Linked DNA regions of Rhinolophus ferrumequinum. The protein of the gene in region 1 purifies or fractionates together with the protein of each later gene. This does not show direct contact. Links are inferred from orthologs where the notes say so. Each region holds a gene or a part of one and is shown in the gene's direction. Other genes may lie near its edges.

Evidence for each region.
Region 2: the proteins of COP1 (region 1) and STK40 purify together in Homo sapiens (affinity purification with mass spectrometry; 3 studies listed by BioGRID and IntAct, counting the BioPlex papers as one, with this or other methods). This does not show direct contact. The link is inferred for Rhinolophus ferrumequinum from reciprocal best matches to the Homo sapiens genes COP1 and STK40.
Region 3: the proteins of COP1 (region 1) and TRIB3 purify together in Homo sapiens (affinity purification with mass spectrometry; 5 studies listed by BioGRID and IntAct, counting the BioPlex papers as one, with this or other methods). This does not show direct contact. The link is inferred for Rhinolophus ferrumequinum from reciprocal best matches to the Homo sapiens genes COP1 and TRIB3.
Region 4: the proteins of COP1 (region 1) and TRIB2 purify together in Homo sapiens (affinity purification with mass spectrometry; 4 studies listed by BioGRID and IntAct, counting the BioPlex papers as one, with this or other methods). This does not show direct contact. The link is inferred for Rhinolophus ferrumequinum from reciprocal best matches to the Homo sapiens genes COP1 and TRIB2.

Annotation. Positions count from the first base shown.
Region 1 is NC_046305.1:10,101,390-10,108,897, reverse strand, and holds the start of COP1 (E3 ubiquitin-protein ligase COP1), read left to right. Parts: upstream 1-4,507; 5' UTR 4,508-4,814; coding exon 4,815-5,236; intron 5,237-7,508. UniProt on the Homo sapiens protein: E3 ubiquitin-protein ligase that mediates ubiquitination and subsequent proteasomal degradation of target proteins.
Region 2 is NC_046292.1:25,285,410-25,292,919, reverse strand, and holds the start of STK40 (serine/threonine-protein kinase 40), read left to right. Parts: upstream 1-4,498; 5' UTR 4,499-4,679; intron 4,680-7,510. UniProt on the Homo sapiens protein: May be a negative regulator of NF-kappa-B and p53-mediated gene transcription.
Region 3 is NC_046306.1:23,330,003-23,337,757, forward strand, and holds the start of TRIB3 (tribbles homolog 3), read left to right. Parts: upstream 1-4,738; 5' UTR 4,739-4,959; intron 4,960-7,755. UniProt on the Homo sapiens protein: Inactive protein kinase which acts as a regulator of the integrated stress response (ISR), a process for adaptation to various stress. Inhibits the transcriptional activity of DDIT3/CHOP and is involved in DDIT3/CHOP-dependent cell death during ER stress.
Region 4 is NC_046296.1:63,869,465-63,876,636, reverse strand, and holds the start of TRIB2 (tribbles homolog 2), read left to right. Parts: upstream 1-4,156; 5' UTR 4,157-5,529; coding exon 5,530-5,799; intron 5,800-7,172.

The DNA of each region.
Region 1 (7,508 bases):
ACATTTTTGGAGAACAGACTGGTCCTCAAATAATAACTTTAAGAAATTATAGTTCTCTATAGGTGTCTACCTTGTGTTTTAAAGTGCAAGTTGGAACTTTTCACTTTAATTTTCTGCTAGATGCATTATTATGCTATCGGGTTAAGAAATTTCTCCATTTCTTTCTTCTCCATTCAAACTGACAGAAAATTGTTTTCTCCTTTTTCTTCTTGTCGTGCGAGGGACTCTGCTCCCTGAACCAGTTGTCACGCAGGGCGGCCTGAAGGGTGACAGGTGGGGTATCCAGCCGACTACGCATGTGTCACGCAGGACGTCCGGCGGGGTCTCTGGTCCCACTCCCCACAGAAAAACGCAGGATATGGTGAGGCCAAAAAGGAACACCCACGGAGCCATAAGTAGGGGAGTCATTATCTCTATACTCTCGCTGGTGGCTGGGTTGGAGAAACAGGACGCAGGAGCCACACTGTTTGCAACCCTCACTGTGCCGCTTGCAGGCTCAGCCACCATCTTCTTGCTAGCCCCCATTTTCTTTTTTTTGCTGCTAGCCTAGCCACGGCCGTTATATTCATGGCTAATGGCTCACTGGTTACAGCTGACGGCCAACTAGCCACAGCTGCTGGCCATTTGATCACAGTCAATGGCCATTTACTACCTGAGCCAGCACCTTTCTATGTGAGGCCGAGAGCCTGGAAACTGCTTTTTGGGGCTCTGTCCCCACACTTCTCAATTTAGCTTTTTAATACCATGGTTATTTCATACCCCCCCCTTTTTTTTTAAATAGGGCAAACACATTAAATTAAAAACAAAAACTGAACAGGAAGCTACTATTCAGAGATTTGGTTAGACAACAAACAGGGCTAACAGGTAGCAAACCCTTCAGGTGAGTCAGATAAATACAGCTTTTTAGGGAGGATCGTTTTGGAAGATTGGTTACCAAAGGGCAGGGCTAGCTGGAGATGAGACCAACAGCCTTATTTCCCTAAATTATATTTGGATAAGATACCTTAGCAATATATCTGGGAAGTTCAATCCTCTTGGTAGTTCCATTCCACCTTAACTATTAGATTTTACTTCAGTAGCCGTGTTTTTGTGGAAGACTGGATTTCGTCTTGTCATGTTTATCATTCACTGGATTAATATATTTAATACATGATGGAATTCTTTTAATTATTAGGGCTAAGCTGTTATTTTACATTTACTTTCATTTCTCATTAATGCTTTCTTCCCTTCTCCTATTTGCTACTTCTTCTGAGTTGTCTGACTTTTGTCTGTTTGCATGTGTATATTTTGTCATGCTTCCTCTTTTCTGCTTCCCCAGAAGATTTTGCCAGTAAAAACTAGTAAGGGTGGTGTACTTTCAGAAGTCTTTATACATTTATCTGATATAAGAGGGAAATTCTACTGCATCATATCCCCTCAGCTTCCTTTTGTAAATTTAGATTTTATTAAAGATAGGTTCTAAAGTGGTCCTATCACTTTAAGCACATGATGATTTTATTAAAGATAGGTTCTAAAGTGGTCCTATCACTTTAAGCACATGATGATTTTATTAAAGATAGGTTCTAAAGTGGTCCTATCACTTTAAGCACATGATGATTTTTTTTTTCTCAGAGACTTCTCAACGAGTCATATCCCTTTCTGTCTCCTGAATAAGCTACCTGGAAGGAAGAGACTACTTTACGTATTTCTCTTACATTACCTACAGTATCAATCACGTATTTCTCAAAGGGTTAGTCACCTGCATCAGATTCACCTGGGTGCTGGTAAGAACGCATATTCATAGGCCCTACCTCAGACCTATAGAGTCAGACCTATAGAGTCAAATGAATTTAAACAAGGGATCTCTGGAGGTAGAGCTCAGACACCTGTAGCTTTATTTCTCTCATGTGCTGAACTTTCCCCTTAGCCTTAGCCTGAATTTTCAATCACCACCTGGATCTGCTTACTTGAAAGTAAGCACTCACACAACACATCCCAAACTAAATCATCCACTGGCTGTCTCCAATTCTGTCATCCTGCTATTATCCCTGGAGTCACTCCTCTTTGTGTTCCATCACTTTTACTTAATCAATTTGTCAGCATTTATGCCCACAAAGTACTGGGCAAGACAGTGAGGAACAAGACAGACATGGGTCAGGCCCTCAAGAATTGTCAAGATTCTTTTAGAGCGTAACTTACTTCTATAGACTCTGTTGTGATTTTTTCCTCAAAATATCCCCTTACTTTCCTCATCAGCTCTCTAATCTAGAATCTCATCACTTATGCTTGGGCTGCTATAATTTTTTCCTAATTAGTCTCTTTGCTCCTCATCTCCCACTTCTTCTGAAAGATTAATCTGCTGAAAACTTAAACTTCAAAATGACACTGAATATATTTTACCCCCAATAAATGCCTTCATTGTTTCCAATGGCTTATAGGCTATTTTCCAAAGTGAATTCAAGACTCTTTACAATTTGCCCCCCAAATGAATTTTTCCTGAATAAACTCTTTACCCCTATCAAATAGGTATCTGAACTTGATGAAAATACTTTCACCTTTTTATTTTCTGGGTTCATGACTTTAATTACACTTCCTGATTGACCAAGCCATACTTTCCTTTCTTAAGGTCTAACATTTACCCACACCAACATGGCTGGTCCTCAGCACTTGCTCTTGCTTTAGCTCCTATGGCGATTCTCTACTCATTAAGCATTTCACATGTGCTCCTTGGAGACATTACTTACTTTTTTATGTATTTTTCTAATTCGTCAACTATTCCATAAATTTCCTGAATGTAGGAACATTTTATATACTTCTTCATCTCTTCTTTGCCTAATCCAGGCCTATGGGTAGCAAATGTTCAACAGATATTCATCAAATTCTTTGCATTACTTTACGCATTCTTTCATCAAAAAAATTATTGAATGCCCACTGAACACCAATACGGTTCTGTCTTTCATGGAACTTACAATTTAATTGGAAAACCATACTTTAAGCAAATAATTAAAATAAAAATGAGGTCAATTGCTTTATTCGTTAGTCGAGAAATATTTGATGAGCATCTATCATAGGCCAGGTATTGTGTTACCTCCTGGGAATACAAAGCTGAAGCTGATAGGCTGGTGGAGGAGAATCATATATAAACCACTAACATACAATGTTATAAGTGCAAACAAAATATCGTTGGAGCACAAATGAGAGTGCAACTATCTCTGACAAGGAGTCAGGAAGGCTTCACATTTCAGTTGGGTCTTGGAAATGAATTTAAACAAGGGATTAGATAATGCAACGTTCACACAAGGAGGGTGGTTCATGGAAATCTGATAAACCCATTCCTGTATTATTATTCTGAGCAGAAACCTGAGCTGGAAATAGGAGGGTGAGCAACTAAGGCAGAGTTGAGGAGTGTGGTACCCTTACGATGGTTCACTGCCCAGGTGAATGGCTGTCTTGTTGCTGGGCCTTCATGTAGGCCCTTCCCTGGCCCTACCCCTTCAGCGTGGACAGATATTCCTGGGGAAAGGCCCTGGTTGTTCCTAGTCTTCAAAACTCAAGAAAATTAATTCTGGGCTCTTTTCCTCCAAGACACATAAAATGCTAAGAGTTGGAAAGAGATACCGAAAAATCACCCAGTTCAGTTGTTTCTCCTTTACATCCCCAAGAATCTTAGGGATTCTCCAAAAGGCAAATGACAATCTGTAATCAATTTTTAAGATTCCAAAAAGCCTCCCAGAAATTGCACATTTTCTGGTGGTATTAAGTACCAGGTTTCTTTGTTTTGTGCTAGGAATACATCAGATCCACATAAACCGAGGTTCTGGCTGAGCTGTGTTCTGATTAAGTATCGTTTGTTTTCCCATTGTTGTTAGGCTTAATTTGGCAAATCGCTTTTCAAAATACAAGAAGAGGATCATGGTCGAACCCATAAAATTGGTAACATCTGCTACAACGTTTTCAACTTACAAAGCACTGTCGACTGACTTCATCTTAACGTATTCCTCAGAATACTGTGGAATGGTCCTGAGTCCCTGACTCTCAGTCCAGTGCTCTTTCCAACTGCTCGGAGCTTCTGGGTTATTTGTATGCGTCCCAGTCTGCAGAGCCTTCAATCCCCCACTCGGAAGCACCTGCCATGCCCTCGCCACTGGTTTGCACAGCCTGCCTCTCTCTCAGGCAACGGCAACCGCTCCCTCTTCACGTTGAGGAATGCGGCTCACCCGCACGCATGCGTGGTGCGCCGGCGCCGCTCAACTCCGCCAGGAGCGGGCACCCTGGGTAACTCAGGGCGCGCGTGCGCAGTCGCTCTGCAAGCCCTCCCCCTCAAGCCCTCGGCCACCGCGACCATTCATTCCGCTCGCTGCAGTCTTGTCACCCATTACGACGGCCTGCCCTCCGGTACGTCACGAACGAAAACAGCTCCCGGCGAGGGCTACCGTCGGTACAGGCCGCCGCCGTCGCCGACGGCGCGCCGTGCGCGTCTGAGAACCGCCCGGGCCGCCCGTCAAGTCGTATCCCCCGCCGTTCCCGCCCCTTCCGCCGCTCGCGCACGCGCACCGCCGGGCCTCGGCGCCCCAGGGTTGGCTGCGGCAGGGTACCGCGGCGGCGGCGGCCTCAAGAGCGGCAGTGGTTTCTCCTCGGCTTTATTAGTTTCCTCCGCCCCCTCCCGTCGGACGCTGTCGTGTGGTCGCCTTACAAAAATCAACTTTATTGTTCCTCAGCCCCACCTCCGGCGCGGCGCGCGTCCTCAGGATGCACTGAGCGGAGGCAGGGGAGGCGGCGGCGGCGGGTCGCGGTCCCTCTCCTCCGAGCGCCCCGCCGGAGGGGAGGGAGTCACGATGTCTGGTAGCCGCCAGGCCGGGTCGGGCTCCGCCGGGACCAGCCCTGGCTCCTCGGCGGCCTCCTCGGTGACTTCCGCCTCCTCGTCCTTATCCTCTTCCCCGTCGCCCCCTTCCGTGGTGGCGGCTTCGGCGTCGGCGCTGGGGTCCGGCGGGGCAGCCCAGGCCGCGGGCTCCGGCGGCCTCGGGGGCCCGGTGCGGCCTGTGTTGGTGGCGCCCGCTGTGTCCGGCAGCGGCAGAGGGAGCGGCGGTGGGGTGGTGTCCGCGGGCCTGTCCCGGCTCAGCTGCGCGCCCAGGCCCAGCGCCGGCGGAGGAGGGAGCAGTTCCAGCCTCGGCAGCGGCAGCAGGAAGCGACCTCTGCTCGCCCCTCTCTGCAACGGGCTCATCAACTCGTACGAGGACAAAAGCAACGACTTCGTATGGTGGGTTTGAAGAGCAGCCCCCTCCCCGTCGCGGAGTTTCTGCCGTTCGGGCTGGTGGGTCGGGGCGGTGTCTGCAGAGCGATTCGAGCTGCTGCTCGGTGGGGTGAGCAATGTTGGAGACCCCGGGCAGGGTGGGTACCCACGAGGTAAGGACTCGTGAGGGGGAAGTGAAGAGCGTTCAGGGCCTAAGAAACGAGGGGGCAAGGTGGAAAGTCAAATACATGGTTCTGCGTAAAAGGAAAAAGTTGGGCAAGGAAGTTAGGCCTTGAATTTTCTGGCTGGCTGGTGAATTCGGTGTCCTGTTAGTCCGATTGCTTGTTCAAGTGAATTAGATTTGTAAAGGGAGAGGGGTACGCTCCCTGGGATGCTGAGGGATGGAGTTGTTGGCCAGATTTTGCTGATTGAAAGTGTGGTAGACGGTGTACTAAACCTGGGTATGGATGTTTTAAGAAGTAGTATTTCATGTAAGTGTCCATGGTGTGTCTATGGATAAAGATCTCTTACTGTTTCAAAGGGTAGGCCGCTTGGAAATCTGTCAAGAAAGGCTGTTCACCAAAAATTGCACTTCTCAACTGAGTATCTTGAAATAGGGAACCACATTTACTAAATATCATCCGTGTGTCAGATGGAGCCACTACACTTCTGTATCACATTCGAGTATACTGGAACGTCTCATTTGAGGAAGGCGAGATATTTGACATTTTGTCAGCCAGACTTGAATGACATCTTGAATGATACACCGTAGTAGTATTCAGTTACGTATTTGTCATGGAGGGGTCAGCCCTATTAAGTGAAAGATGGAGTTGATTGTCTTGTTGAGAGTGTTTCTGGATTTTCACTGGATTTCTGTATCCAAAACCCAGGCAAATAGTAGAATTGTGAGAAAGAAGTTACTTTTAGCAGAGTGAAATTTACCAGCTAACTGGTAGGATTTTGTGCTTTTCCCTGGAGGAAATTGTAGGTGGATTTAGAATAGTAATGGTGTAGGAAGTTGGCTTGCGACTGTCATTATAGGGGAAGTTGATTCACTTCAGGATCAAAGATGATCGGAGTTTGTTGTCATTACAGTTGACCCTTGAACAACACAGGTTTGAACCGTGTGGGTCCAGTTATATATACATCGGTATTTTTCAGTAAATACAATTGGCCCTTGTATCCTTGGTTTCGCATCTGTAGATTCAACCAATCACTGACCAAAGACAGTATTTTCACATTCCTAACCTCAGGTAGAAATAATACTATTTTCCATCTGCAATTGGTTGAATTCACTATGCAAAGGGCCATCCGTAGAGTCGAAAGTTAAAAGCGGATTTTTGATGGTGTGGGGGTCGGTGCCCCTAGCCCTCCTGTTCAAAGATCAACTGGTAAATACGATGGGAAGTTATTGATTAGACTTACAGTTTCTAGTTCTTGCAGTAATGATGTCTATTCATATGCTTGCTTTGGTCTTAAATTATTCTAGATTCAGAATTAATTCATTTTTCATTGAAACTGGGCTATAATTGTGATTGTTATTTAAAAATAAGCAGCTCGTGGTGGGGTCTAAGGTGTTTGTGCTCATACTCAGTAGAGAGTGCCATATGATAAAGTAGAAGCTAATGAAACAAAATGAGAGTTTGCAGGATTCAGTTTTTTTAGCCACCATTTTCATTTCGGGTTTCAGTAGGCTAAAAGAAAACATGCCAGCATCCAGATAGGTACACCAAAATAGTGCCAAAGATGTGAGAAATAAGGGAATCAGTGGTTCATTTAGCAGGTATTTATTTGGCACTCTCTGTCTGCCAGGCGCCACATGAGTTTTATTGTACTTCTGATAGGCCATTTTATCCGGAATTGAAGAAGGATGGGGGAATGGAAGCAGCTAGCACTGATTTTTTTTTTGGGGGGGAGGGGTAGGTTATTTACATTTTTATTAGTCTGCCACCTAATTTTTTAAAATTACAATCTAGTCCCCGAGTCCTAACCATGTTTATTAAATTATTCTGTTTTCTTTAATATTCTAATACGGAAGTATCCAGTAAGAGTCTTTAGTTAAAAATTCTGAATATTTCACTTTAATAATCTCATTAATCCATTTCTTTTTCTGGTGAGGTTGAATATTCAGAAGAACTCATTAATGAAAATCTATTTTCCAAATTCTCAAGCTAGATTTGATTTGGCCAAGCTTTTGGAGTAGGGGGATATGGATTAGGCAAGGCTCAAGGAATCCTTTTCATTTCTAATTGGCTCTGGGTGATTGGTCTGGTCTTGTATGCTTCAAGGTCAAACTGAA
Region 2 (7,510 bases), on another chromosome or scaffold:
TCATTTAAATTTAAACGGAGAAGGAGCCTGGCATTTAAAGAGCCAAAGGAGAGCAGAGGAAACTGCTAGTGCAAAGGTCCTGAGGTGGGAAAGCTTGGGAGTTTGGGGCAATAACAATACCATTGCCGTTACTGAGGCAGAAGAAATGGGAGAGGGGTGGGGCAAATGATACAAAGACCTTGGGGGTAAGGAGTGTAGCTGGTTCCAATTCTGGTGTGTAAGAAATATAACTTGAATTTTCTCTAACTCAAGTGAATTCATGTTTTGCCTCACTCAGCCAAGTGTCAGAAACTTAATTGCAGTCCATTCAAAGTTACCCCCACTTTCCTTGGAATTGGTCGAATTCTAGGGTTTTCCTTTCAAGGCACCAAAGCATGGGAAGGGTAGTCTAATCTGGTGGTCATTCAGTCACAATAGCATCCACTGAAATGTCCTCATTTTGTTCTGGCATTTTGTCATCTATCTGCTCAGGTTGCACAAGTCCACGAGGGTTTTGTTCTGGTGTTTTGTCATCAGCCCACTCGGGTTGCTGCTGAGTTGCTGCTCTCTGACCAAAGACCGCCTGACCTCCCCTTCAAGTGTAACCCATACGCCTCTCAGTGTTCAGATTTTTGTTCTACTTTTCCCAGGCCAGTCAGGCCCAAATTCTTAGGGTCTTGGGTTAGTTAGGCCCTGTTTGCCCAAATGCAGCACACAGCTGTTTCTTCAGAGGGTTTTGTTACTTCTTGGCGTTCCCCCAGGAAAAAGAAGCACAACTCTTCCTGTTTTCCACTCTCTGAGACCCAGCTGATACCCTCCAGCTAACAGGCTGAGAAGAAGCTTCTTTCTTCTCAGGGACCACCCCCAAGTCAGTCTCCCAGATCCCCATGTCACAGTTTTCTAAATTTGTATCTGCTCAGAAATTCTTTCCATTCCTCTCTGAAGCCTAGGCCTTTGGAATTCAGAAGCTAAAAATGAACTCTGCATTCTGTTGTATCATTTATTTCCTGACAGAAGGAATGCAGAGTAACCTAGCTATCTGCATAAAGGAAAGGTCAAGAGCCACCAAGGAAGAGATTTAAAAACAAAAAGCATTGCCAATGTCATCACCCCATTGGAGTTTGGGTTTTGTGCTACTCGTGGTGTGGCCTTTATTCAAGCCCAGACATAAAGCAATGTGGAGGTCCTAGGTGATGACTGAGCCCTCAGGAATTCTGACGGCTCGGGTGGTATGGCATGTCCCCTCTTTCCCTTCCTGTTTCTGGAGAGAAGAGTACAGGGGTCTCTGTCTCTGATTTGTAGGAGGGGGACTGTCAGGGCTCCGAGGAGAGCTGGGTGGGCATGCAGCTTGAAGGTCCTGTCTCCCTGGGGGCCATACAAGTGACACAGCATCTCCAGCTCTCAGCTGGTTAGGACATGAAGGGACTTGAAGGAGAACATCCAGTTCAGTGAGTTCCAGTCTGGTATCCCTGCCTGAAAGATCCCTGAGGGCAGTAGGGGTCCCTTGAGTTCTTATCAATGTTCCAGAAGGACCCAGAGAAACAGCACATAGTATTGGAGGGTAACCAAGCTGGCTTGGTCTCTGCTTTGGGCTGTAATTATACCAGCAGAATGGTGGTCACCTTGGCTTGCTCTTTCTGAGCAAGCTCTAATGGCTATAATACGAGGCTGTGATCAATAAAAAGGGGAAAATGACTTGATGCAAGTTGTATGAGAGACAAAATCTTACTGAATGTGAGGCTCGTGTGGAGGGAAAATGCTAAAAGAAGCTTTGACGGTGAGATGGTTGGGAACCACTGATCCAGTACAACTCTGCCTTTTTACAGTTGAGGAAACAGGCCATTTCCTCAGGGAGACGGGGAAAGGGGTCTTCTCAGGTCCCGTGTTTAACTTATTGGCAGAATGCCAAGATGGTCATCATAAGTAGCTATCACTTGCTGAACCTCATTGCGTGCCAGGCCCTGTGCCAGGGCCCTAGGTGCTCCAGGAGGACACAGCTGTCGCCTGTTTGGTCCCACTGGATCTCCAGCATCTAGCCCAGTGCTCTGCACATAGCAGGCACTCCATAAATCTTTGTGGAATGAAAGAATCATCTCGTTTCATCATTGTTACAATGGTATATATTAGTAGCCCCATTTTACAGATGAGCAAACAGACCCAGAAAGGTGAAGTGACTTGCTCAAGGTTGAAGAGCCAGTGAACAGCAGAGTGGGGATAAGAACTCAGGTCTGTATGACCCAAATTCCATGATACTACACTATACTATTCTGCTTGCTCGCACTCCTGACACCACATGACGACACAGTGCCCTGCTCATCTCGATGGTGGTACCCAATCACCAGGTGGGGGCCTGGCACTCAAAATTTGCCATACACAGGCGTGGGGCTTGGCCACAAAGAGAAGCCAGAAGTCCGCCAATAACAAGGATTTGCTGGGTTTCAGAAGCCTGAGGAAGCTCTTTGGGGTTGAAGACCTCCTCCTGTGTTGGGCAGGCCTGCCTATATCTCGTCAAGCAACCATCTCATGCTGTTGTGACAGGCGTCACTTTGTTATGGCAGTGCCATCTGCCAGTATGCCCAGAGTTGGAGAGCCAGCAGGAGAGTATGTCACTGTGTGTGTGTGTGTGTGAGAGAGAGAGAGAGAGAGAGAGAGACACGCAATAGCTTCATGTTGGTGTCTTGATGACAGTGTTTCATTTCCTCTGGCTGGCACCTTTAGTTTTTATTCATTACCTATTCTCCCCTCTTTCTCTTTCTCCTCCTCTCCTTTGTTAAAATCCTATGTTTTGAATCAGCTGAGAGTCTCCTGGGGGTGGGGATGGTGTTGTCAGCTCCTAGTGATTCATCTAGCTGATAATTAGAACTCTGGAAAACCCAAAACTTATTTCTGTCAGAGTCAGGGCTTCCGGAATCCCTAGGCTTTTCCCTTTGTCAGAGAGGAGAGCTGGGGAGGGGGCGGGGAGGGGGTGGCTGGCTTCCTTGTGCCTGCCTTTCTGTCATCCCCTTCATCAGAGCTCTGTAACTGAGGTGAGTCGGAGCACTCTTACTCACCAGGTCCTATGAGAAATTGCCTCCACACTCACTGAATCCTCACAGTGATCCCACGAAGTGTTATCCCTGTTTTGACAGCCAAGGAAGGTTAAGGAACTTACACTAAGTCACTCAGCTTGTAAGGAACGCAGTAGGAATTCAAATCCACCCATCTCAGAATCTGTCAGAGTTGGTTCAGATCACAGCTCTGCCATTATAAGCTCTGTGTCTTTGGATGGGTTACTTCCCCTCTCAGAGCCCTAGCTTCTTCATCTATAAATAGACTCCTAACCTGATGTCTCTAAACTCCTCAATACGGTGTGTGACACAACAGTGGGAGCTGTTTTAGTACTATTATTATTTAACCCTATTAGTTCCCAGGACACCAAGCATTCAGAGAGACAGAGATGGACACAGGAGGCTGCATCCAGACTCTCACTTGTACCAACTCTCATGTCCTGGCACTGCCTGTGTGGAGATGACAAATACGCATACACATAAGTGCCTGGCCACATGCCCTAGAAAAACCCAGCACCAGGCTTGGACACGTGTGCCCACACAAGGATACAGGGTGACCCAGGGCATAGCTAGCTGGAAAGACACCCGAGGTGTCAGTCATATGCAGCAGGCACCGCAGCTCACACCCGAGACAAAGGAGTGGGGCCATTGTCGCTGGTGCTGCTGCCACTAAGCTCTCCTAGCTGCTTCTGCATGGCAGGGGAGGGAAGCCAGGCTCTCAAAGGGCCCCAGTGAGTCACCAGCCTGATGCAATCCCTTTAAAGGGCTCATCTGCTGGTGCAAGAAGCTGATTCATGGAGGGCGTGGTTGCTGGAGGAGGAGGAGAAAGGCACCGAAACTGCAACAGGAGGGGCTGAGGTTAGGTGGCTGGAATAGTTAACAGGAACTCTTCACTGTAAACCTCCCTGGTCAAGACTCCAGCGATCTTCAGTTGAAGCGGGGTTTCTACAAAAGCGAGGGGCCCAGAGGAAAATGTGAGGGCTGCGACAGGAATTCCTGTCATTGAGTCTAACTGCAGCTCTCTACGCACAGAACTCCAGAAACCGAGAAATGGGGATCAAGGAAGAGCCATTTTTCTGATAAATATACTACATCTGGCCGACCTGCCAACTGCTGGAGATTTCTCCAAATCCAGCAGGGCGTGTGCAGGGTACGCGAGGTGCCGCGGAGCCGGGGCGGGGGACGGTGCCTCCGGCCCAGCCTTTCCTCAGACATAGATAAGCAGTTAGTACCGCCCCTTTAGAGTCTCAGCCTCCAATCGTTTCACAGATCTCGGCCCAGACCCCACCTTGAACCAATCCGCAATTGGAATCTGGCCTCTGGCCTGAAGGCTTCCGCCCGTTGTCAAGATGGTGCCCAATCCCAACGCCGTGGGTCTGTGGACTCGGGCGAGGGGCGGGGCCAGGGGCGGGGGCGGGGCTGCGGCTTGTGCCCGGAGGAGGGGGCGGTGCGTCACTTCCGTTGTCAGGTGGCGGCGCCGCAGCCATGGAGGGAGGCGGCGGCGGCGGTGGCGGCTCGGGCGGCTGCGCTGGGAGGCGGCCGTGAGCGGCTCCCACGCCCCCGGCCCGGCCCCGGCCCCCCGGGACGGAGCGCCGAGCAGTCCCGGCTCCGGGCTACGGACTATGGGCGAGCAGCGCTGAGCACCGGGGGAAGGTGAGAGCGGGGGTCCGGGAGTGGGGAGCCGGGCGGGGGGTGCGGGTTGGCTGGGCGGGCCTCAGCGGCGGTGGCGGTGGGACTCGGGTGACAGCCTGAAGCTATCCGGCTGCGACAGAAGTGGCAACAGCGAATGTCCCCTCCTCTTCTGGGGTCTGCAGTTCCCCGGTGGCGGGGGCTGCTGCGCGCCGGGGCCGCGGTAAGCCTTGGTCTCGCCGAAGCCCTGGGAGGTGGACACTGCCAACCTTGCCCGGAATCACTCGGCCAGTAAGTGAAGGCACCGGCGTTTGAACCTGCCAGGTTTTTCCCAAGAGACACCTTCTGTCTCTCCATGCTTCCCTCCTGATCTCGAGAGGGACTTGAAAGTTAGAACGAGTCCCCAGGGAGGGCCAGCCAGGGCTTCCTCCAGGAGCCCTCACCCGTTGGCACGGGCACCATCGCTTCTGGGGAATTTCTCTTCCCAGGCGGCGTTCGGGTGCGGGTCAGAGCTACCTGCTTGCCAGTGCTACATTTGGTCGGCCTTTTCCAAGGAGAGAGAGAGCCTGTTGCTGTGGTCACTGTTTCACCTGCCATGCCGGGTCAGGCCCGCCCATTCCCACGCCACTTGGCCCCACCTTCCAGGCTGGGGTTTTGGGATTCCCGACTCCTCGTTCTCTGCCCACCCCCACTCCCTAGGTTTGATGCCGGTTTGTTGGCGGAAGGAAGAGATGACAGCCGCCTTCTGTGGCAGGATAGACTTTGCTCTGTTTTAAGTCACGGGAGGAAACCCATTGGCTTTGCTTGGTTTTGAGAGCAGTGGGGAAGAGGGTAGTCACTCTGGGCTGGGCGCATTTCCCTCTTGGCTTAGCTTTCACGAGATAAGGAAGAGAAGAATATGTAATTGTAAGGCCAAAAGCATCCTTGTTTGTAAACTGTTTGTGAGCTGCTCCAGCGCTTTAATGGCCCTGTTGTGCCAGTTGTTTACTGGTTGGATCTAGACAGTTTGGAGATAGCCCTCATTCATTCATTCATTCATTCGTTCCCCACATGACAACAACAGTATCTTTGCCTGGAGAAGCAAGTACCCTATATTATGGTGATTAAGACTGGGCTTTGGAGGCAGTCTTCCTGAGTTCAAATTCTGGCTCACAGCTTTCTAGCTGTGTGACCTTGGGCACATTGTTTAACCTCTGTGCCTCAGTGTTCTCATCTCTAAAATAGGTTGATAACAGAGTTGTAAATATTTAAAAAGTTAACATATGTAAAACACATAGAACCATGTCTGCCACATAATAAGCATTCAATAAATATTAGCTATTATTCCTATTTCAAGAAGCTCATGGTCCGGTTAAGGGAGACTGACCTGTAAACAAGTAGTGGAAATGTGGTCTAAAAAGCCAATAGCAGCAGGAACAGAATGCTGTGGGAGCCCAGTGGAGGGAGCTGCTAGGTCAGCCTGGGTAGCAGGAGGGTCCTGAGAAGGCTTGGCTGAAGCTGTTATGCTGGAGCTGCATCTAGAAGGATGGGAAGATTTAGCCAGGTGAGAATGAAGGAGCGAGGTGTTCTACTTAGAGACAAGTAAACTCATAGTTTATTCTAGAAACCTCAGCCTGTTCAATATGGTAGTGTGAAAGTCGACATAATGCAAAGTAAGGCAGTATAGGTTGACAAGGGAATGCCACATTAACAATTCCGGACTTTGTGCCAAGGGCCATGGGGAGCCAATGAAAAGGTTTTAAGCACTGGAGTGTCATGGTTGGATCTAGTTTTAGAACTATCTCCCTTGAGTCTCAACAGAGGAAGGAAGGAAGAGGGGAGAGACCAAAAGACTGGAGACCTCTTCAGAGGCCATTGCAGGCCTCTGAGAGGAGAGAGGTGGTGCTAGTGTGGTGGATCTTTGCTGAGAAAGCACTTTTTGCAACCGGTGGCAGGTGACAAGCTCCCTATATTGCCCTCGGCTTCTCTGCCTAGCACAGAAGTGACTGGCGCATGTGCCCCTCTCTTCCTGAGCTTGCAGGTCACTTGAGCAGCCAGGGAAGTAAGGTTACCTTCTCAGAAGGCCAGTTGTAGGGGGTGCTCCCTTTGCTCCCTTGTACCTTTAATTTGACCTTTTGGGAAAACAACAGATTGTAGTGGTTAACAGCCTATTTGGCACTGCAGTCAGACAGATCTGGGTTCTAATCCCAGCCCTGCTAGTCACTAGAAGTTGCTTATTCTCTCCATGCCCAGCTTTCTCATCTATGAAATGGTGACAGAGCCCCTCCCTAGTAGGGCAATTCTGAGGATTAAGAAAGCTATGGCAGGTTGAGCATTTAGCACACACTGAGTGAGACATGCTTGGAAGTGTTAGCTGTTATTACAGGCCGCGGGAAAGAACTTCCAAAAAGTAGTTGATGCAATTAGTGGCAACTGGAACTGTGTCCCATTGAGCTGTCAGAAGTGTCCTGAGGGATCACAAGAATTTTATTGTATTCTTTCTGAAAAGGAAATCAGTGGGGAGTTTACCCAGGCTGTATGGGAGCCATTTGGATGATTCAGCACGGCTCTTTAAAAGAACCATTTTTTTAAAATAGAAGTAGGACTGCTGAGGGGAAAAAAAAAGTGTTTTAAAGTACGAGCAAAAGTAGAGTTTCTTCCATGTGTGTCCCTATTATGACCCTAGTCTGGTGTCTGAATTAGTGTTATCAGGAAGCCTCCCATGCATTGATGTGTGTAGTGGCTCAGAATCCAGAACTTGAGTTCCGTACACGAGTGGCTGGAGCTGTGCTGGGATTAGAAGGAGAACGGAGGGAGAGGTAGGCTACAGGGACAGATGGGGCAGGCTCCTCACCGATTCACACATGCACAGAGTT
Region 3 (7,755 bases), on another chromosome or scaffold:
AGTAACATTAAATGCCAGGAAAGCAAAAACACTATTCTTGAATTCTAGTTAGAACCTGTTTCTTGCTGAAGGCTCTGAGCTGAGCCCTGCTCTCTCTTCCTTAACAAGTGAAGTGTTAAAGACACAGAAGCTGTTAAATGAGATTTTCTTCCCCAGTAATTGGAGGAACAGGAAGAAAACAAAAAAGAAATACATGTATCATGATATGATTCAATGTTATGTAATAGAGTCTGGAGACCTAAAACTATCTGGCATCTACCACTGCTGTACATATCATATTTTGGAAAGCACTGAGCTAATCCAAATCTTTCTTCCTATTTTACAGATAAGAAAACTAAGGCTCCAAAAGAGGAGGTGACTTGCCCACGATCTCACAAGGTCTGTGGCTTCAGCCAGACCTAGAGTCTAACCGGAAATCTTTCCAAGGCATTGTTTCCCTTTCGTGGGGAGAACATACAGAGATGAAAGGTTTAAGGGCACCAATCGTAGAATTTGAGACATGTAGCAATCACTAGTGACACCTGGGTGGAATGGCAGGAGGCAGGTGTGGCTCCTGTCGTGGCTCCCATCATAGCAGTCCACAGACTCCCACCTCCTCTCCTCTGTTGGGGCACAGTCCTCTGAGCATTGGACTTAGACACACAGTGACTTTGACAAGAGCAGTTTCCCTAGGGAAGGGCGAGCAGGTAGAATTGTGATTGGAATGGATTTAAGAGAGAAGAGGAATTAAATTCCCTGAGGGCCAGAGACTGGGCTCATCAGAACTACAGCAATAGTAATGCAGCCTGCTTGGCTCAGACACCTGGGTGGAGGATGTTTTGAGCCTGGAGAGAAGGGATGTCATAAAAATAACTCTCTCTCCAGGAAAGTGCACTTTTTTGCATTTAATTTTGGGGGTCTGGCAACCATTTATTTTCTCACTTTTAAAAAATGCTTACATAGCATTTATATTCCAGGCACCTCACAAATATCGTCATTTAATCCTCATGACAAACCAATGCAATAGGTACTATTATTATCCCCATTTTGCAGATAAGGAAACTGAGACACAGAGAGCTTAAATAACTTACACAAAATTTCACCTTGGAATTGGTAAGATTTGAACCCAGGAAATGTGGTTTGACTATGACACTAGGCTGCCTCAATGCATTTAACCCTTAAGACTGCAATGCAAGAAAAGTATGATTAATCCCATTTTATAGATGCAGGAAATAGATGCAGGAACTGAGGCTGAAGGCTATTTGGCATCTACGTTGTGGACCGGACAGACTCTTCACTTCTTTGTTGTACTCCCTGGACCATGTGTCAGGAATTCTTGGTCAAGGGTTGTGCTATTCAATATGGCCACATGTGTGGCTACTGAGCATTTATTTATTTAAGATTTTATTGGGGAAGTGGAACAGGACTTTATTGGGGAACAGTGTGTGCTTCCAGGATTTTTTCCAAGTCAAGTTGTTTTCCTTTCAGTCATAGTTGTGGAGGGCACAGCTCAGCCCCAGGTCCAGTTGCCGCTGTTAGTTGCAGGGGGTGCAGTCCACCATCCCTTGCGGGAGTCGAACTGGCAACCGTGTGGTTGAGAGGACGGGCTCCAACCAACTGAGCCATCTGGGAGCTCAGCAGCAGCTCAGCTCAAGGTGCCGTGTTCAATCTTAGTTGCAGGGGGCAGAGCCCACCATGCCTTGTGGGAGTCGAGGAGTCCAATGGGCAACCTTGTGGTTGAGAGCCCACTGGCCCATGTGGGAATTGAACCGGCAGCCTTCGGCATTAGGAGCACGGAGCTCCAACCACCTGGGCCACCGGGCCGGCTCGCTACTGAGCATTTAGAATGTGGTTACTGTGACCAAGGAACTGAATTTTTCATTTTATTGAATTTTAATTTTAAGACAGGTCAGGTAACATATTTTTTCCATTAAATACAGCTTAAGTTTTTTAGTAGGACTACATTTTACTTTAACCATTACTTTAACAATTTAGCTTCCATGCTGATTTGTGTCCAAATTAAGTGTAATATATACACACCAGATTTTGAAGACATTAGTATGAAAATATTTTAGATGAACTCATTAATAATTTTTATTATCTGTGAAATGATAATATGCTAGATACATTGGTTTAAATAGAATATATTATCAAAATTAATTCCACCTGTTTCTTTTTATTCTTCTTTAGTGCATGACTAGAAAATTTGAAACTACATATGTGGCTTATGTTATATTCTATTGGAAAGTGCTGGTCTAGAGAATTGGGATGTGACACCCCCAGCTGTGACAAGGGCCTCAAACTTGGGGCCGAGGCCCAGGGTGTGGTTCCAGAGAACATACCTACAAGTGAGGGTGGAGGCTGCTGGTTTGCAAAGATTGTGAAATGTCCCTGGCCAGTGTGGACACTGGGGTCAGCGGCCCCAAGTTCAAATCCAAATCTACCTCATACAATGAGCTGGGTGGTCTTGGGTAAGTCCCTCACCTTGACTCATTTATAGAATGTAGGTGACAGTGCCCATCTCACCAGTGCCTCAGAATCTCTGTGCTTACTTTTTCCTCTTTCCCCCTCACATCTTTGCACTAGTCACCCCTATTCTTCCTTAAGATCCTACTTTAAGCATCACCTTCCTGATGAGACTTACTGAAAACAGCCATCCCTCAGTCATCTCTGATACAGAAAAATCTACCCTATTTTATTCAAGAAAATAAATGACACTTATAATCTATTTTCAATGATCGTGGTTTATTGATTTTATTTTATTGATAATGGCCTGTCTCCCCATTGATTTATACAATCCATGAGGACAGCGATGGGTCAGTCTTGTTTCCGATGAGTCGTGACAGGCATGGGTCTGACACCCGAAACAAAGTTAGGAATGTGTGAGCCAACCCAGCGCAGTGCCAGCTTCATAAAGGTGCTCAGAAGACAACCATCCCTACCTTTCTTTACCCCTAACAGCTATGGGAACTTCTGACCTGAGTCTAGATGTCCTGGTGTAGAAAATGAGTTCATTTATCCCTCCCAGGCAGGGGAGTCTCCAGGGTTAAATGAAATCCCAGAATCCCCTAGTGTGCCCTGAAGGATCTGAGACACTAGTGAGCTGGTCCCTATGGTTCTGGAACTAGGGAAACAAAGGTGACTCCAACCGCCTCCCATCCAACCTCTGCCTGAGCAGTTATTTTTTTGACATCTTTTTTTTTAACATTTGTTTTTATTAGTTTCAGGTGCACAAAACAATGTAATAGACATTTATCATTTATAGCCCTCACACAGTGACAACCCCCCACCCCCCATCCACTACCCCTCTGACATCGCACACAGCCATTACATTTCCACTGTCACTATTCCTCATGCTGTACTCCGCTTCTTGTAACTATATATGTATATAGTTGTAGTTGACATTCATTATTGTTCAGCTTCAGCTTCAGGTGTACAGTGCAGTGATCAGGCATGTACGTCATCCCTGAGGTGGTCTCCCTAATGAGAGTCCATTGAAATGCCCATCGGTAGATGACTGGATTAAGAAACTGTGGTACATTTATACAATGGCGTATTACGCAGCCATAAAGAAGAATGAAATCTTACCATTTGCAACAATATGGATGAACCTAGAGAACATTGTGTTAAGTGAAATAAGTCAGAGAAAGACAAATACCACATGATCTCACTTATATGTGGAATATAAAGAAAAGAATAAATGAACTAATCAGAAATAGTCTCAGAGACAGAGGAAAAACTGAGGGTTGACATCATATTTTTCCAGACATCAAGACCTAGAAAGGATTTCCACTGAAAAGTGTAGATCCCCGGGGCTGCACAGGGATGCTTTACCAAATAGCAAGTGCCACCAGGGCCTGCCAGGCCTGGGGTGCAAGTCCCGTGATAGGCATCTTCCCCTCGCTGAGCCTCCATTTTGTATACTCTTTTTATTGAGCACCTATGATGTGCCACACACTGTTCTAAGCATTTTACTAACTTCTTTTATCCAAACAACGACTCTATGAAGTGAATGCTGTGCTATTATAAGCCCATTTTATAGTGGAGGACACTGAAGCAGGGTTTTAGGTAGCATTCCTGAGGTAGCACAGTGGCCTGGGCAGAGGTGGGGTGCACTCTTAGGCAGGCTGTTTCTAGGGTGCCTGCTCTTAACCACTACTAATGGTTGCACTGCCTTTATCAAATGAATGCTGTGAAGTTCACCTTACCTCAGGCCTTCCCAGGGCACCACACTGGCTCTTTTGAGCCAGGAATCAGCTCCTATAAATCTGTGGTTTTTGTAAAGCTCCTGGGCTGCTTTCCCATAGCTGGGCCTCAGGCAGTTCCTTAGTAGAATGGGGAGACTAGAGCTTCCTGCCTGCCAAAGCTTCTCTAAAGGTTTAAAAAGCAATGGTGGAAAGGTAGCCAGGAGGCTGTAATGGTTTGCTTTTTTTATTTCTCTTCAGCACCATCCTGAGAAGCAAGGATGTTTTTCCCATTTCACAGATGGGGAAACCAAGGCTCAGAAAAGCAAAATGCTTTTTCCAAGATGATAGGGAGAGTCAGTGGCTGGTGTCTACACTCAAACTTCGGGCGCGGGGCGGAAGGGGAGTGGGGTGGAGACGAGACACCCTTCGAGGGCGGGAGAGGCGAGGGGTGCCCCGGCCCCGCCCGGGAACCTAACCGGAGGGACGGGGCGGAGCGCGTTGGGAGGGGCGGAGCGCAGGGGATGGTGCAATCCCCGGCCGGAGCGCCTCAGGCGGCTGCTGATTAGCTCAGGTTTACATCACCCGGGCCAGAACCGTCGCCTGGCGCCAGGCGTCCAAGAGACACTCGCCGCGGAAGCCGCGGCGGCTCCGCACGCTTCGGGCTGCGGGGGGTCGAGGCCAGAGCTCCGCCAGATCCCAAGCTCAGCAGCAGCGGAGCAGGTCCCAGTCCACCAGGGGTGCCCAGGCGACTCTGAACTTAGGGGTCCGCAGGACACCGCCGCACCAGGGCAAGGTACCCGGCTGGGAGCCAGGGGCAGGAAGGTTGGAGGGGCGGGTAGGTTGGAGGGGCGACCGGCGGAGGGTGGCCGGCGAGCTTCGGGATGGCTCCGGGCTGCCGCGTGTTACACACACCCCTTTGAACAAACCTGGCCGTCCGGGGGCGATCTGGGCCGAATGTTCCTGCCGGGTCTCAGGTGACGCAGCCCCTCAGGCCTTGGGGTCGCCCAAGTGAGGCCGACACCCGCTAGGGCGAGGGAGCACACCCCGGGGGTGTTAGCTGTGTCCCGGGGGCGGAGGGAGCCAGGACGGAGGTGTCCGTGTGTGGGTCCGAGAGAGGTGTGCGGTTGTCTGTGTTTTGGGTGAGTGTGGGTCAGGGGAGTCGTGTGGTTTGGTGGGGGAGGAGTGTGTGTGAGGGACTGCATTGGAGGACTGGAGGACTGTATGTACAGTCTCTGTCACTGTGGGGGGGTATCCGCGGGAGTCCGCGGGAGCCTGTGGGGTCTGGGTGGGGATGTGTTTCGGGACTCTGTGTTTCCGCGGACGGTGAGAGTTGCGGGGAGGGCAGAGCACCTGGTGGCAGGTGTTGGCTGTGTAGGGGGTACGGGCGGGGTAGGGCAGGGGTTTCCTGGAGGCGGAGGACCCGTGCAGGTCAAGTGGGACCACGGAGGCAGCGGGCGGATGCGGGACCCTGCTGCGCGCCGGTCCTGGGCCGCAGGTGTGTACCTACCGGTTTGCACGTTGCACTGTGCGCACGTGTGTTTCGATCCAGCAGACGGCGTGTGTTGTACCTGGAGACTTGGGGAGGGGAGGCGAGGGCCCAGCCCCGCTCCTGCCCCCTGCCCTTGGGCCCAGCCTCCCTCTCTCTGTCTCACCCCCTCCTGATTCCCCACCGCACCTCGGTTTCCGCTGAATCTTCTGCCCGAGACACCCGCTGCCGCCTCTTCCGCTCCCAAGGGAGGAGCCTGGCTGCGGGAGGCCGGCGAGGCAGCCGACTGCCTTAGGCCCAGTGAATGTGTGTGTATTGGGCGAGGGCGGGGAGGGGGCGTGTCAGACTGTGCGTGTGACCCTGTTGCTATCAGTCCTGCTATCGTGAGTGTGATGGTTGGGAGAGCTGTGTGTGTGTGCGTGCACGCTTGCCCGTGGAGGGAGAGGTAAGTGTGTATCACTTGATGTGTGTGCCTGTGTCTACCCTGGATGTATGTGTCTCTGCTGGCTGGCTTGGACAAAGTGTGTTTTTGAGGGGTGTGTGTACACCTGTCTCCCCTGTTGTGTGAGTGTGTATTTAGTACGACCTGCCCCTTTTCCCATGGGGTTGTCAGGGACCAGTAAGAGGTAGATATTAGGGGCTGCCTCCATCCTACAGTGGAGATCCTGCAGTGTGGCCTGCAAAGTCCCATGTTCATCTATAGATTCAGATACCCCTGTTCAATGGTGTGGGGCATCCCAGGCCCCACCAGGCTCTGAGGTACAGTAGGGCCAAAGCAGCCTGGAGTGCTGTACAACCACCAGAAAGCCACTCCAGGGAGTCTCTGCTTCACAGGGCACAAAGCATCTACACAGCCAGGGGTCATTTTGCTTGACTCAGAACAGCCAGTGAGGTCATCCTAGCCTCATCCCTGGGGAGATTTCTGAGTCTCCATATGGTAGCACTTGAGCATCTTCAGCTAATAATAATAATATTAATAATAATAATAATAAATAATAATGGAACAGCAGTAGTGACCATTTCCTGACTCCTATCCTGTAACAAGGCCATGCTACTTTATTTCTGTTTTAATTTCTTCACCACAAAAATCCTATGGGCATTACTAGACATATGAAAAGATGCTCAAAGTCACTAATCATCAGAGAAATGCAAATTAAAACCACAATGAGATATCACCTCACACCTGTCAGAATGGCCATCATCAATAAATCAACAGAAAATGGTGTTGGCAAGGATGTGGAGAAAGGGAACCCTCATGCACTGTTGGTGAGATTGCAACTTGGTGCAGCCACTATGGAAAATTGTATGGAGGTTCCTCAAAAAATTAAAAACAGAACTACCTTATAATCTAGCAATTCAGTTACTGGATATCTGTCTGAAGAAATCCAAAACACTACTTCAAAAAGATATATGCATCCCTATGTTCTTTGCAGCATTATTTACAATAACCAAGATATGGAGGCAACCTAAGTGTCCATCAATAGACGGACTGGATAAAGAAGATGTGGTACATATATATAATACTTGTACAATGGAGTATTACTTGGATATAAAAAATGAAATTTTACCATTTGCAATAACATGGATGGACCCAGAGGATATTATGCTAAGTGAAAGAAGTCAGATAGAGAAGACAAATATATGATTTCACTTTTATGTGGAATTTAAAAAAAAAACAACACAACAGACATACAAAATAGAAACCAACTCCTAGATACAGAGAACACACTGATGGTTGCCAGATGGGAGTGGGTTTTGGGGGCTGAGTTCCATGTATGGATGAAATACAATCTATGTAACCAGACCCCTAATGATGGATGTTCAGTTATTTCTATTACATGGGCTGCAAGAATAACCTTGTACTGGTATTATTACATCAGTATGTAGAGAGCTTCCCGGTCCTTTTTCAGAACTGTATAGTGTTCTACTGCATGGCTGTACCATAATGTTTTAACCAGCCTCCAACTGCTGGACATTGAGGGTGTTTCTTGCCTTTTGCTATTTAGACACAAGGTTCTGATCTAATTTTTTGGTGAGCATTATTTTTTTTTTAAGATTTTATTGGGGAAGGGGATCAGGACTGTATTGGGGAACAGTGTATAC
Region 4 (7,172 bases), on another chromosome or scaffold:
AGAAAATGTCTCCTGTATTCACTTCACTTGTAAGCACTCAACAACTATTTCCCTATATGACAAAAAATGCTACAAAACCAAGGCCTGGGAAAAAATGGGTCCAACATGGCAATTTCTTCTGTATTTATATACTGGACTTTTCCCAGTGGACTGGGCCATTTGTTAAAAAACAAAACAAACAAATAAACAAACAGAAAAACACAACTCCTGTCCAGCCATGGTAAATCAAACAAACAGGTACCCTTTAATAGGTGCCCCTAGGAATCACCTTGTAAATAAACAACTGCTTTCCAAACGCGAACTGTTTAAAACAGATTGAGAAAAGAAATTACTATTATGGGAGGACTCTCAGTGGGCATAGAGGTGGGGACTGGAGTCCACAAAATGATGAGAAGCTGGTGGGTGTGTAACCGAGACGAGTGGAGGTGAAGTGGCTGGGAGGTTCCCTCCAGCCCAATTTGTCTAAGCTCAAGGTTCCACGTGTGGCCAAGAAGATTGCGTTTTGCACAAGTCCAGGGGTGCCACGCACAGAGACCTCAATGGGAATGAAACAGTCTGGAGTTGTGTGGTCCACAGCCTGCATATCAGCATGGGTCAGCATTCTCTATGTTTATCCTGGAAGTTTGTCGCCGATTTTTAAGACTAGGTATGACTTACTGTAGAGTTGTTTGAGAAAGATGAATGTCATCACTTGTGGTCCATATCAGCCTGAAGTGATACAGTCGTCTTAGAAATTGTTCTCAAAAACCATTTATTTGCTCAAGAAACACAGAGCTTAGCTTAGAGATTTACATTTAGTAGGTACCTACTGTGATGTTTGCTAAATTAATAAACTTATGAGAAATGAAGTAGATGAAGGCACAGCTAAATATATTTCAAGATAGAATGATCTGGAAAGCATACACAGCCCGCTAGTGACCTAAAGCAACTGCATTTGACTGTCCAATAGAGAGGACTGGTTTAACTGTTTCCTGTAATTATATAATTCTTGTTTTAATTGCCACATAATATTTTATCATTGTTACATAGTGTAGTTAACCATTCTTACAACAGTGTGTTTAACAATTCCCATACATTTTATTGAGACTGTTAGAATTTTGTAACTTATTATTATTCTTATTATATGGTAGATTGCTTTCTGTGGATGTATTCCAATAATAATAGCAATAATAAAAATAATAGTAATAAAAAGTATTTATTTATAATATGCAAGACATTGTGCTCTTGCTTTATACATCTTCCATAACTGTGATGTGTTAGGTAAAATTCAGAATATCTTAATTCTACTTTATAATTAAGATATTCTAAATTCACCTAAGGTCATATAGCTAAAAAGGGAATGAATGAAGGTTCCCACCCAGATAGTCCTACAACATGTGTTTTTTTATTTTTTTTTCAACCTGAGAGTTATATCAATATGTATAAAAATGTTTAAGGCACTTGTTATGAATTATTTAATCCATTCTGTACTGCAATAGCTTCCAAAGGTTATACATTTGACCTTTGAGAATGGGCAGGTCAGTGGCTACTGTATAATTTCGTCAGAAGTAATAAATACTTTTCAATCAGGTATAGCATCAGTTACACATCACCGTAAGTTTATAATTTTTTTGATCTTTCCAGTCTACAGTGCTCTTTCTTCCTTTAGAAGCCCACTGGTATTTACTCCAGATGACCTCCAGCGTGACCTTTTTAAAACCCCAATCCAACCATCAGCCTTCACTCTACTTCTCCTTTGCTGCTAAGACCAGGGACTGGTCTATCAGCCCCTTTCTATTCTAATTCCAACACGCTTTGCCAGCCACAGGCCTCACCGCTGCTCCCAAGTCGCCAACAGTGGAGCCATGGTGAGTTACTAGAAATTTCAGAACCTCCCACTCCTTTGCTTTTGCACATTCTTTCTCTGCCTGAAATGCCAACGACAATCTCTTATTCATGTTATTCTATGACTCAGAACTTTGTCAAGAACCACAAAGACAAATATATTTTTTAAATCATTCTATCTCTATACCCAGTGTCTGGTGCATAGTAGGTTTCAGTAAATATTTGCTCTGGATTAATTCAAGGTAAAAAAAGTAACGTTTTCTGGGAAAACTTCCTGAAGGCCAGGAAAAGTTATTTCTCCTCTCTGCTTCCTTGATGCCTTGAAATTCTAATTGCCACATTGTTACACAATGAGATTATGTATTTCATGTTTTCCTCTGGGGCTACACTCTGAGCTCCGGGGTGGCAGAGATCAAAGCTAATCATACTTGGGTCCTTAACACCCAGCACAGAGCTGGGTTTATAGTAAGCCTTCATAGATTTCCTGGAATTGAAAATACAATTCTAAAGCAATCACGAGAGCTGAGCAAGGCTGGTGTTATACTTCTTATTTTATAGCTGAAGAAATGGGGACCCAGGGAGGAAAAAAAAAAATGTCTTGAGTCAATTTTCATTTGAATTCAGGGATCCAGGCAGGGTTGGAACAAGGGTCTCCCAGCCCCTAGTTGTAAAGCATCATTGGTGGTCACTGAAGAAGCCTGGGCCTTTCTTCCTGAACCACCAGCAGAGGCTGCCTTTGTTCCTGAGACAAACAGGAGCACATAAGTGTGTACCTGGAACAAGACAGGATTCAGGGTCCCTGCTTGGCAGCCACAGTGATAGCCCGGGGAACAGATGACTGAGTCCTAGGCAGGTTTGTGAGGAGCAGGATGATGAGATGTGCCAGGAGGCATGGGGCCACACTTTTTGACCTTCTTTTCAAACTCTGGTCCTGTGGCAGCCTGCTGTAGTGTCCTCTCTGGCCAACTTCCCAGGAACTCCTTATCGCTACAGTAACTTGGTTGTGTATAATTATAAATTATGCAGGAGTGGGCATATTTGGAACTAGCTCTCCTTTTCAGTCAAAAGTGTCCTACTGTGGGCAATAAATTATATGGTCCCCTTTCTCTCCCCCACTGGAAAATATGTATAAATGCATGTAAAAGCTCAGAGGGCTCCCGGAGTCTTCTAAACTCCCCTTTCGCGGTCCCTTGGCTTGCTTCATTTATTTATTTATTTATTTATTTATTTTAGTTAGTTAGTTAGTTAGTTAGTTAGTTAGTTAGTTTGTTCCCCAACCAGATTGATTCTGATTTACCAGGATACATTAAGGCCTGGAGTCTCATGCCTCTGCCTGAGTCCAGGCACCTTTCCTGTTGTGTTTCTGCCCAGACCAGAGGACTGGGGAGAATAAAAGGGGGTGGGGTGGGAGGCGGGAAACATCAACCCTACATGACTCTCAATGTTGAATTCATTTGCGATCCATGTAGGTGTAGGAGTGGGGGTGCGCTAAGAGAAGAGGATCCATGCAGCCCAGCACTCGGGTTAGGAACCAGGAGCCCTGGTGTGAGGTGTGGGTGCAGAGGTTTGTTGTCACTCAGCCACCAAGGAAGGCCCTCTGGGCACTGTCCTGGAAGGGGAAGAGTGAGTGATTAAATTTGGTCCGAGTCAAACGGTGACTTCAGCTGGTCTGCTGAAAATAATCCAAGCCCGGAGGGAGCGGGGCAGGAGGAGGGTGACACCAACTAAAAGCAGTCAATGTTTTAAAATTTGGAAGATGTTGGAAAAAGATGATGAAACTAATTTTTGAAACCCCATTCAGCACTGATACCAACACATTGTTCACCAGAGAAGAGCTCTTTGCTCGCGCACCCTCTGAGGAGCATGATGCTCAGGGGGTGCCTAGATTTCTGGGAAAAGGCGCCGGGAAGATGAACCAGGTGTGAAAAAGTACACCAGGCACTGCAGGAACTGCTGGCTAGGGGGAGACCGGGGGGCAGTTCCCGCGCCACTCCACCCTCCTTTTCCGAGGCCAGTGCGCTCACTCCCTAGCCCCGGGCCGCGGAAGGATATTGCACTTTGTTTACAGAGCCCAGGCCTCGAGCGGCTAGGCCAGCGCCCGCGCCCCGGCCCGGGAGCTGCAATGGCAGTGGCAGCCGCCGGCGCCGCCGGCGGGCGAGGGGAGCCGCCCGCGGACTGGCAGCCGCGAGGCTGATTGATGGGCGCCCGGCTCAATGAGGGGGGCCCGGGCGGGGGCGGGGCGGGGCCGGCTCCGAGTTGAGCCAGTCGCCGGTGCCGCGGAGGCTGGGGGGGGTGGGGGTGGCGGGGTGGGGGGGCGGAGGCTCCGTGGAAATGTGTCGGTGACATTGAATGGGGAGACCGAGCGCGAGCGAGGCGCGCGCGCGCACACACGCGCACACCCGGCCCCGCTCGCTCCGAGATCCCCGGCCACGTAAGTAACTATTAATACCGCCTCGCCGGGAGATGCGGGCGTGCTGAGCTCGGGGATTGGCCTCGGGCACCGTCGGCCGTCCCCTTCAATTTTAAATACACATTCCTCTTACCTCCGAGGGGGGAAGAAACAAATAAAAGAAGAAGAAAAGCCCTCAATTTCCTCCAAAACCTACCCGGCCAGGCAGTCGGGTGTAGGGTAGGGGGAGACCGAGTGGTTGCAAATTTTTCCGAGGCAAGATCCAGGTACCCAGCGGGAAAGGAGCGCGGCGAGTGAGCAGGGCTGGGGGCGCATCCCCTACCAGCGCCCGGAGGATCCCTGGACGCTCGGGCTGGGGAAATCGGAGAGCACTGATCTGCCCCGGTCCCTGCCCGCACTTCTCCCAGTATTCGGAGGACGACCAGGAGCGCGAGCGAGCGGCTGGCGACAGCATGAGCCTGTGCTGACCTCCGCCCGGCCCGCCGAGCCCTGGGCTTTGTCGCGGTACCTGCGCATGGCCCGCGCCACTACTCTGCACCCAGCTTTTGCAATCTTTTGTTGGCAGCGTTGACCGCTCTAAGTTAAATGCTCCCTTGCTATTTTTTTGTCTGTTTGTTTAATTTTGGGAGAGCTCTTGCGATCTTGGAAAAGCCTCAGACGCCATCTACAGTTAAATCGTAGGTAACTACCCTCTCCGGCACCCCCCCTTCCACGCCCCCCACCCTTTCCACCAAAAAAGGGGGTGCAGCGCGGATTCCGTCTGCCGAGCGGCGCGAGCCGGTAGACCCGTGCTGATTTCCTTTTTCTTTTTGTTGGGTTTCTAACGCGCGGAGAGCAATCCGCAGCCGTGCGCTCGGCGAAGATTGCACCAACTAGAGCAGGGCTCCACCGCCTCGTCTGCGAGTCGGAAGCCTGCGTGGGGATTGCTCCGGGGGACCCGGCGCTGCAGCTCCCACCTTAGCAATCCAGTTCCTCGTCTACATCCACGTTGGGAAGAGAGGGAGAGAGAGAAACTAAAAGTGCGGAGATTGTGCATATCGCTGGCTGCTTTGGGGTAACAAAAGGACCCGAGCTGCTGCCGACCGAGTGCCCCTGGGAGCCGGGCTCGGAGCAGACCAGGTGCCCCGCGGCGCCCTTTGGGGGGTTCTAACTCTTTCTCTACGTAGCCCTCTTCTCGTTCCTTCCCCTCGCGTCCCCTTTTAAAATCCGTGGCACGGAGGCGCCTGCAGCCGCACTCGCCAGCGACTCATCCCTCCAGAGGGTTTTTTTTGTTTGTCGTGTGCGATCCCACACTCATGAACATACACAGGTCTACCCCCATCACAATTGCAAGATATGGGAGATCGCGGAACAAAACCCAGGATTTCGAAGAGTTGTCGTCTATAAGGTCCGCGGAGCCCAGCCAGAGTTTCAGCCCGAACCTCGGCTCCCCGAGCCCGCCGGAGACTCCGAACTTGTCGCATTGCGTTTCTTGCATCGGGAAATACTTATTGTTGGAACCTCTGGAGGGAGACCACGTTTTTCGTGCAGTGCATCTGCACAGTGGAGAGGAGCTGGTGTGCAAGGTAAAGAGCCCGGGGTTTGCTTTTGCTTTTTGTCTTTTAAAAAGATTTCCCGGCGGTGTGGAAGGGGCTGGATGGTGCGGGAGGTCGCGGAGCCCTGGAGTCTGGGCGAGGGAGATTCGCGGGATAATAATCCGTGGCCTCGTTAAATAGATATATTTATTTATTTTGTTCATGTGCGACTAGCTGTGAAGTTTTTAGAGCGTTGCAGACAATGGGGCGGGCTGTGGCGGGGCTGTTTTGGGGAGAGCCGGGGGCGGGGAGGGCGGCGGAGCCGCGCGGGGGCCACAGACACGCGTGCTCCCAGGATCTCGGGGAGCTCCTCCGCGCGAGGCCAGGTTCCACTGACCAGGGGATTTCTCTCGGTGTCTAGCCCCCTCCCCTTCCAACATGGAGCAGGGAATCCCCCGCTAATTTTAAGGCACTGATGACTTGGTTCCTTTTGCAGCCATTGTTCTTAGCTGCGTGCAGGTGTTAAACCTTTGTTCCGAAGGTGCCCTTTAAAAGGACACACAAAGGTGTCCCTTCTGGCTGAGCCCAGGGGCCCAGCGCGGGGTAAGAGTTTACAAAGAGCTTTCTTGTGCCTGGATCTTTGAAAGGAGGGTTGGGGGGTGGAAATCAAAGCCGCCTGCGCACCTTGGGGTGTAGGAAATAGTGACTCCTTTGGGTCTTTCATGTCTCGGTTTCTTCTCATCCCCAGACTTCCGTGCTTGAATCCCCTTCGTCCTCCCTCACTCCCCGACCCCACATATACCTTTGCGTGTCCGATTTGGAGCCCCAGATCTGGACACTGCAATTTCCTTTTTGTCTTTGACCCTAAAGAGTGACTGGTTGCTGTATGTGTGTCTGTGTGTCTTTGTAGGCACCCACGGGGCTCCAGACAAGCGGGTTAGCACGGGAATAGTTGCAAAAAAAGAGAAGACAGTAGAGCCTACCAGCTACCCAGGAATTGGACATAGATCAAGAATTCATTGTCACTTAATTTTAGATTTTCCTCACTGTTGTTTTTTCCTGGGGGAATGTAATGGGGGGGGTCGTGAGTAGTGGGGACCCCTGCTGTCTTTGAAATGGGCACTCAGCACAGCTTTGCTACAAATAATGTGTGACACTTTTACCATTAACCACAGACTGCTTTGTGGAATTTATTTGGTAGGGCACTGGAGTATTTCATTGTAAAACATGGGTTTTGTGGAGGTCTGTAGTCAGTTTTGCAATTGTTCAGTTCAGACCTTGGGGGAAAATAAGAGACTCTTTTAAATATTACTCTGCTTGTAGTGAGCATTTGGCATTTTGCATCTTCTCCAAGTTATTGACACCCAGACCAACTGTGCCTGGTTAACCAAAATGCAGTAGGCTGTTCAGAGCTGGATTGAATT